Linked DNA regions of Macaca mulatta. The protein of the gene in region 1 purifies or fractionates together with the protein of each later gene. This does not show direct contact. Links are inferred from orthologs where the notes say so. Each region holds a gene or a part of one and is shown on either strand. Other genes may lie near its edges.

What was found.
Region 2: the proteins of PLEKHO1 (region 1) and CAPZB purify together in Homo sapiens (co-immunoprecipitation; 3 studies listed by BioGRID and IntAct, counting the BioPlex papers as one, with this or other methods). This does not show direct contact. The link is inferred for Macaca mulatta from reciprocal best matches to the Homo sapiens genes PLEKHO1 and CAPZB.

Annotation. Positions count from the first base shown.
Region 1 is NC_133406.1:116,992,917-116,997,211, forward strand, and holds the start of PLEKHO1 (pleckstrin homology domain-containing family O member 1), read right to left. Parts: upstream 3,098-4,295; 5' UTR 3,066-3,097; coding exon 3,036-3,065; intron 2,747-3,035; exon of another isoform or gene 2,391-2,746; coding exon 2,244-2,390; intron 1-2,243. UniProt on the Homo sapiens protein: Plays a role in the regulation of the actin cytoskeleton through its interactions with actin capping protein (CP).
Region 2 is NC_133406.1:221,614,586-221,618,390, forward strand, and holds part of CAPZB (F-actin-capping protein subunit beta), read left to right. Parts: intron 1-3,382; coding exon 3,383-3,524; intron 3,525-3,805. UniProt on the Homo sapiens protein: F-actin-capping proteins bind in a Ca(2+)-independent manner to the fast growing ends of actin filaments (barbed end) thereby blocking the exchange of subunits at these ends.

The DNA.
Region 1 (4,295 bases):
AGGTGGAAGGATTGCTTGAGCCCAGGAGGTCAAGCAAGCAGAGAGTTACAACTGTGACACTGTATTCCAGCGTGGGAGACACAGTGAGACCATCTCTAAAAAACAAAACAAAACACCCTGTCTTGACTCTATTGGCCCTAGAGCTTTTTGCAAGTGGGCAGAATAAAGCCCAGAGTCCTCTGTCAATTTCACTTTTAACCAGGCCCACTGTAGCATGGAAACTGGCTCTAAAAAAGCATAGTATCAATATGTCTAGTCCCTCTTTCCTGTGCCCTTCCCAGCAGGAGACAGCTGGCTCCGTGACCAGTCAGATGGTCCTGACTCATAGGACACCAGACATCCTAGGCTGAGGTCATTCCATCCTTTCCCCTGTCTCTGTACCTCTTCCTCACAAGCAAGGATCAACTATACTTTTGCCCCCAGACTCTGCTCTTTGGGCAAATACAAACAAGCAATGGATGTTTTATTCCTCTTACCCTTTCACTATTACGTTTTCCCTGACTTGTAGGAAGTTCTCCCTGATTGGTAACTAGAGTTTCCTGCAATTAAGAAGTTCGGGGAAGACAGGAGATACACTTTGACACTTGCTTTTTTTTTTTTTTTTTTTTTTTAAATTAGAAAGCCGGAAAGTTGTGGAGAAAACTTTCTGGAGGATTTGTGATTGGGCAGCCGTAACTCTTAAAAATAAATCCTCCTGGCCGGGCATGGTGGCTCACATCTGTAATCCCAGTACTTTGGAAGGCTGAGGCTGGTGGACCACTTGAGGCCAGGAGTTTGAGAGCAGCCTGGTCAACAATGCGAAACACTGTCTCTACAAAAAATACAAAAACTAGCCAGACATGGTGGCACCCACCTGTAGTCCCAGCTACTCGGAGGATGAGATGGGAGGATCACTTGAGCCCTGGAGGTGGAGGTTGCAGTGAGCTGTGATCGAACCACTGCATTCCAGCCTGGGTGACAGACCAAGAAAAGTGCCTTCACCTCACTCCTAAGACTTTCCATCACCAACTTCCTAGCTTTGTGTAAACAGTTAGGTTTCAATACCCTTAAGAGGGATCTCTTTGGCTGTGGCACAGCTTAGTTCTTCCCTAGATGCCTCAGTAGATGTTCTTCTAGATGAGTACTTTGTCTCAGGGTGTGTGTGTATCTGTTTCAATACCATAAAAGGTTTTATTTACCTAAATATAATCTACTGAATAAGGGTGTCTACTGCAGAAAGTAGAAGAGGTTAGAACTCAGGGAGGACTTCCCAGTTAGCTCTGGGTGAGGGAACACAGAATCCCTCCTGTGAGGGCGAGAGGAAGAGCCACTCTAACTGGTACACAGGACAGTCTCCCAGGCTATACCGACAGTCACAGAGGCAGGGAATGGAGTGACTTCTAACCACTGGAGGGGCAATTCTGATTTCTCAACATGAGTACACGTTATTGACCCCAAGACTTAGGGAAAAAAGGGAGATGGGTCTGGATTCAATTATCATAGCTCAGGTTTTGACACAGTGTAGACTGGTTTTCATGGTTAAATACACAGCCAAAGGTATCCAAAGACATACAGGGGTTCTTAACTCCATTCTTCTCCCTTCTGATACAAATGGGGGGGGGTGGGCAGGAAGTGGGTAGAAAATGGGTTCCTTGCCTTTTTAAAATGGGGTGGGGGTGGGGAACAGAGAGCATACTGGTTAGGGACACTGCCTTCAACGAAAATAACTGCCACTCACAGACCCGAGGTCACAGGGGCCAGACAGCGGGGTGCGTGTGTATTTTCTGTGATTCAGGGCGGATGCGCCACGGACAGGACCTGTGCACGCTCCTGCCACAGACAGGAAAGGGGAGGCTGGCTGGGGTAGGGTCGGGGGACAGAAAGGGGTGGCGAATAGGCTAAACTGTTTCAGCAGAAATAACAAAGAAAATAAATCCTATATTCAGGAGGCCGGTTAGGGTGGGAGGCAGCAAGGGACACTCAGGACTTCTGGGGCGTCTTGGGAGGGGCTTATCATTGTTGTTAGAAAGGTATTTGCAAACAAAAAAACACTGAGTAAGCGGCCAGCTCAACTTCTAATTCTCACTCGGGTCTTCTCACTAAAGGGTGACCTTTCTCTGCAGATGCGATGGGGGTAGAGAGTCAGGAGACCACTGAACTTGCCTTTGGAACAAAACGAGGGTGGAGTAAGCTAGGCGAGCCCTTGTGGAGTGACAAAGTGGGGGGTATGAGAAAACGCAGAGTTAGAGGCAAGAAGCACCCACCTCCTTCTCAGAGATGTAGAGCTGGTCCCCTTTCAGCACCACATAGCGGTTTTTCCAAATCTCCCTGAAAATCCCTTTCCCGCAGAATTTCCGGACCCAGCCGACCTTCTCGGGCGGTGCAGGCTGCTGGTTTCCATCCTGAGGCCCCTGCCCCAGGACAAGATGAGAAGCGGGCGGTTAGGAGATTCCAGCCGCGGCTTCCTCTCCATCCGTCTCTCACGACCGCCTCAGCGGCCCCGTCTCCTCCGAAGGCTGCGGCCGGGGGTGGGGGGGGGCGCCCCAGGTTCGCTCCCACTTCGGAAAGGTTTTCACTCCAAGGAACTCCCCCCGTTCCCCTCCCCTGCTCCCGAATAAACAACCGGGGCTGCGAGTGGCAGGGGCGCGGGCCGGGCGCGGAGGGGCTCCCGGGCTCCCTCCAGGCCCTGCGTCCCCGCCGCCCCGTGCTCGCCGCGCGGGGACTAACGGCGTTTCTTTGGTTTTCTCTCCCATTGTCTCCTCGCCACGGCGGAGCGCAAGGCAAACGCCCGCCCGGCGTCCAGGGGCGGGGGAGGCGCGGGTCGGGGGGAAACTCAGCCAAGTTGAATCCCCCTGAGGCGAGTAAACAAACAAAAGCCCCCGCCGGCGCCTCGCGGGGCCCAGAGCCCCGGCCCGGGGCCGAGGCCAAGGGGACCTGGCCGCCGGGGCGGGGGAGCGGCCGGGGCGGGTGTCTCTCAGGCTGCCGCGGCGCCGACGGGGCCGGGGTCGTCGGAGCGTGGAGGCGGCGGCGGCCGCAGGGCGGGCGGGCGCACTCACCCGCTTGGCGGAATTGTTCTTCTTCATCATTCCCAGCGGGCGCGAGCGCGGGGCTGCGGGCCGAGGGGCGGCCCCGCGTCGGGGCCTCGGCGGCTCCGCGGGGGCTCCTTCCCCGCGGGAGGGCGTCGGAGCTGCCCCGGCGCCGCCGCTGCTCCTCCCTCGCGCCCTCCCGCTCCCGGACTCTCCCCTTCTTTGTAGCTCCGGTTTCACTCAAGGCCGGCCTCCCTCGCGTTCGCACTCGCACACACACGCACGCCCGCTCCCCGCCCCTCGGCGCCCTCCATCCCGGCGCCCACGCGGCCCGGGTCCCCGAGCGCGCCCCCGCCAGCCGCCGGCCCGGCCCAGCGCGGCCGCTCCCCCGGCCCGGTGCGCTGTGGGCGGCCCAGCCCGCGCCCCGCAGCTCCATCCGCGGGCCGCTGACGTTGCGAGTTCAGAATAAAGGGCGAATCGCGGAGCCGCAGCTCGGGCGCTCCCCCCGCCCCCCCGCCTTTGTTTCTGACTCACGGAGGGGGAAGAAGGCGGCCTCCAAGCGGCCGGAGACCGCTTCCCAGGGGGCAGGGACCCTCGCTCCGCGGCGGCTCGGGCGACACGCGGAGCCCAAGAGACCCGGCCGCCGGCCGCCCCGGGGCCCAGTGGGCGGGCGCGGTGATAATGGAGAGACGTGCGGATTCGTGAAGACCGGAGATCGCCAGCCTCTAGAGCATCGCCTTTCTTGACCAAAAACAAAAACGAGAGCGGGAGCCCGGAGGGCGCGCCACCCAGAACTCTCATCAGGAATTCACGCTCCTAGGTGCTAGGGTGGCCTGGGCAGGTCAGATGCTGGGAAAAGTTTTATGCTCCGGAGGGGATCGACGTGTTGGGGGATGGGGTGGGACAGAAGTTTCTATTAATACACGTTTCTTCCAGTGTACAAAGCCTCAGGCCTTATTGTAGCCTCAGGAGAATAATCCTAAGGATGAGGCGGATTTTATGATCTCCATCTCACAGGGAGAAAACGGAGACTCAGAATAGCTGAGGGATTTGCAGACACAGTGTCAAAGCTGGCAGGAATAGAATTGTCTCCAAACCATGATCCTTTATACCAAGTGGCTTTCAATGTAAGTTCCAGGTGAGGCTTAAACTTCCTGCCACCTGGGTATCTTTTCCCGCTGCACTAATAGGTAAAAATCCCATCCTCTCTACAGCGCTGGAGCCCAATGGAGGGAAGGGCTGAACGCCCAGAGAATGCCCTGACTAGGGAAGCCTCTGCTGATCCCTCCT
Region 2 (3,805 bases), about 100 Mb from region 1:
AAATCAGATTTATGGGATAAGTTGATTTATGGTATTGTGGGCTAATTTTCAGATTTCCTTTTTAAAAAAACAATGATGTTCCTGCAGTAAGTTTTAAAATTGTGGGTAAAAGAATAGTAACCCCGCAAGGAGGTCACAATTGAGCTTGCATTTTTACCTCCCCTGGCTCCAGCATTTGAAACTTTAGATCTGGTCACTGTGGCCTGCCAAGGAGAAGCTGCCTGTAGTGGGAGCCAGGCCACAGGGTGGGACGTTGGAGTGGAAACGGCCAGTTCCACCCTATAAAACTTTAATGCGGTTGTTTTATTTTTCTGGAAGAAATGGAACGCTCAGGGATGGGACTGAGGGGAAGCAGCCGTGGGCCACCTGGTGCTTTTGAACTGGTCGCCGGAGGGTGTCGACAGTGTCAGGCCATCGGGATTTCTCCTGGTTCCCCTCCAGGGCAGCCTGACCTGCCTCTCCCCAGTGTCCCAGCACACAGAGGAGAGCAAGCCTTGGGCGGGCACAGCACCGCAGCTCTGTGTGGATCTGTGAAGGAGCGGAAGGATGAAATGCCCCTGGGCTGCAAGCCTTCTTTCCAGAATGGCCAAAGGAAAGAAGGAATTATTGGCCCATCCTTTTTGCCAGCAAAGTAGGGTTTTTTTGTTTGTTTTTCTTCCCCCTCTTTTGATGTGGGGCTGCTCTCCCTATAAGCTGGCTGAAAGAGAAAACCGTGTGCTAGAACCAAGCCATCTGTCGCCAACAGGAAGGGTATTAGCAGGTCTGTTCTGAGTTGCTCTTCTCTCGGTAGTGTTCGTGTGCCTCGTAAGTTAACCTGCAAGAATCCAGGAGAATAAGCCAGAAAGGCTCACGGAGCCCATGCTGCCAGTCATCTGAGCCCTGCTAAACCTCAGGTCTAGCAGGGGCAGTCAGTCCCTCTCCAGGTGTTCCGGGAACATTCCAGAATGGCCTGATCTCTCCAACTCTGTATGGGGCCGGTCCAGACCAGGAGGGCCCTATGGAGGCAGATGGGGCCTTGGGCCCTGGACCAAAACACTCATCTGCTTAGCTCGCCTTGCCCCAAGAAGGGAGAGTTTGGAGACAGACTGGAATAAAGGAAATGATCTTCTGGAGTGGGGTCTCTGAGTGCCAGTATTGGCCGGTGTCCTGGACATCACCTCTGCCAGCAGTGAGCGCTGAGCCCCACAGGTGTGTCTGTTCATCCAGTGGTCCTTTTCCTCTAGAAGGAAAGGATGCCTGTGCTACACCTTGCCAGAGCCAGGCCCTTCCCCACCCTGTGCAGTTTGACCAGTGATGAGCTCAGCATCTGGCACCTGACACATCCATCCCACAGGTGTTCCCTGAGTGGCACTTGTGTTAGCCAGGCAGCCCTGCCCTCATATGCCCTCCTGCAGACTCGCCTGTGGGCGCACCATGGTGTATTCGGTTTGATAGCTTAATCACAGTGGTTAGTGCCACAGAGGGCACGGGACAGAATGTGGTCCTGCCGCAGGGGCTGGCTGCAGCCTGCCTGAGGGAGCCCTCGGGGCGGGGCCAAGGGTAGCCCACCTGAGTATCAGCCCTCCTGGATGCTCCACAGGTCTGAGGGTTGGAGTGAGGGCAGACCAGCCAGGGCACCCTCATTCTCCTGGGAGGATGCTTTGCTTCCTTGGTCTGATGGTCTCTTAGTTACATTACACTCTGGTGTATTCGCGTACTGATTTTTCACAAAAGCTTTTTAGTCTGGAACAGTATGACTTACTGTCAAATTGCAAAAAAAAAAAAAAAAAAAAAATACAGAGAATTCTTGTATACCCATCACCCACATTCTGTAAATATTCACATTTACCGTCTGTATTTTTTATTATAGAATAGCTTTGGTGAGACATAATCTACAGATACATGTTAATTTCTAGTACTTAATTTTACATTAACCGTTTGGTAGGTGTCTACTTTTCCTAATTGTTTGTCTCTCAACAGCCATAGAAAGTAGATTAAGTCCCTAAAGTCCATGTTCACGCCACTGGTCCCTTAGTAAACAGTTGGACGCATGCATGCGTGAGCATAGCTCATAGCTGGGGCTGGGCGTGCTAGAGCTGTCATTGGGTCCGTCTGACTCCCAAGCCTGGGCCCACCTTCCCAGCTGTCTGGGGCTGAGGGCGGTGTGCTCCCAGAATACGCCTGTCGCACCAGGGCTTTGGGGCTTAATAGGGGTCAGAGAGGCCCCAGACTTCCTGATAAAGATGTGCTCACCATGAGAGATGCGATTGCTTACAGTTTCACTGGTTATCAGCAGAGATGAGATTTCTCTTTTTGGGGCTTAATTGGGGTCGGAGAGGCTACAGATTTCGCCACAAGAAATGAGATTTCGCTGGTTATCACCAGCATTTGCAGTTCCCATCAGCTGACTCCACCCCTCACCTCTGCTCACGGCAGCCCCAGCGAGCCACAGTAGTTGACCTGGGTCTGTTGGGTTTGGGATCCCAGACTGATTCCCATTTCTCATCTAACCTTTTCATTCCCTCTGCCATTTGATCGTAATTAGAAATCCCTCTTCCATTTGATCATAATTAGAAATGTTTCTGGGCCAGATGCAGTGGATCACTTGAGGTCAGGAGATCGAGACCAGCCTGGCCAACATGGCGAAACCCCATCTCTACTAAAAATACAGAAATTAGCCGGGCGCAGTGGTGCACACCTGTAATCCCAGCTACTCAGGAGGCTGAGGCAGGAGAATCGTTTGAACCTGGGAGGTGGAGGTTGCAGTGAGCCGAGATGGTGCCACTGCACTCTGGCCTGGGAGACAGTAAGACTTCATCTCAAAAAAAAAAAAAAAGAGAGAGAGATGTTTTTGTATGGACTCGGATTTGAGGAGGAAGCACTGTCTCAAGCTGAGCCCTTCATTTCCGGCTAGCGCTTTGTAGGAAGTTGCTCCGAAAGACCAGCTGGAGCCCTGGTCAGGAGGGATCAGCGTGTAGGGAGTTTGTTGCTGTATTTTCTCATCTGCCTTGTAACCCAAAAGACAGAAATATCGAACAACCGTGGTCACTCCAGTAGTCATAGCCTGCATGGATTGTCACTGGATGTCACTCGTGCTGCGTTCTTTATCTGGGAGGAATGTGACGCCTAGAGAGGTCCAGTAAACCAAAGACCACAAAGCTAAGGGAGGTGGCAGAGCCCAAACTCAAGTTCATCTTTATGATGCCTAAACCTACTACACCCCCAAAAATGCTGCACCCTCTCCCCGAGCCAGAGAACAATCAGAACACACCCAAGGATCGGCTCCTATAACTGTTGCAGGGAGGACCCTAAATCCCAGAATCTTTGCTGAGCAACAGCCTGGGACCCAGGCTGATTATCTGTCCTTTAGCATCTAACAGGCACATTGGCCTGTTTCCTGCAGGTATTTTGAAGGCGGCGTCTCATCTGTCTACCTCTGGGATCTGGATCATGGCTTTGCTGGAGTGATCCTCATAAAGAAGGCTGGAGATGGATCAAAGAAGATCAAAGGCTGCTGGGATTCCATCCACGTGGTAGAAGTGCAGGTACCGCCTCCCAGCAGCTGGTGGCCGGGGCCACTAAGTACAGAATCACACCAAACAGTGCCGCGCTGCTCTCTAGCAGATGCAGTGAGGGGGATGCTATGATCTCTGAACCCCTCATTCTGAGAAATGCCTCCAAGCCATTTGGATAAAGATAAGTCAAGATTGCAGTAGTCGCCAGGCGCGGTAGCTCAAGCCTGTAATCCCAGCACTTTGGGAGGCTGAGACGGGTGGATCACGAGGTCAGGAGATCGAGACCATCCTGGCTAACACAGTGAAACCCC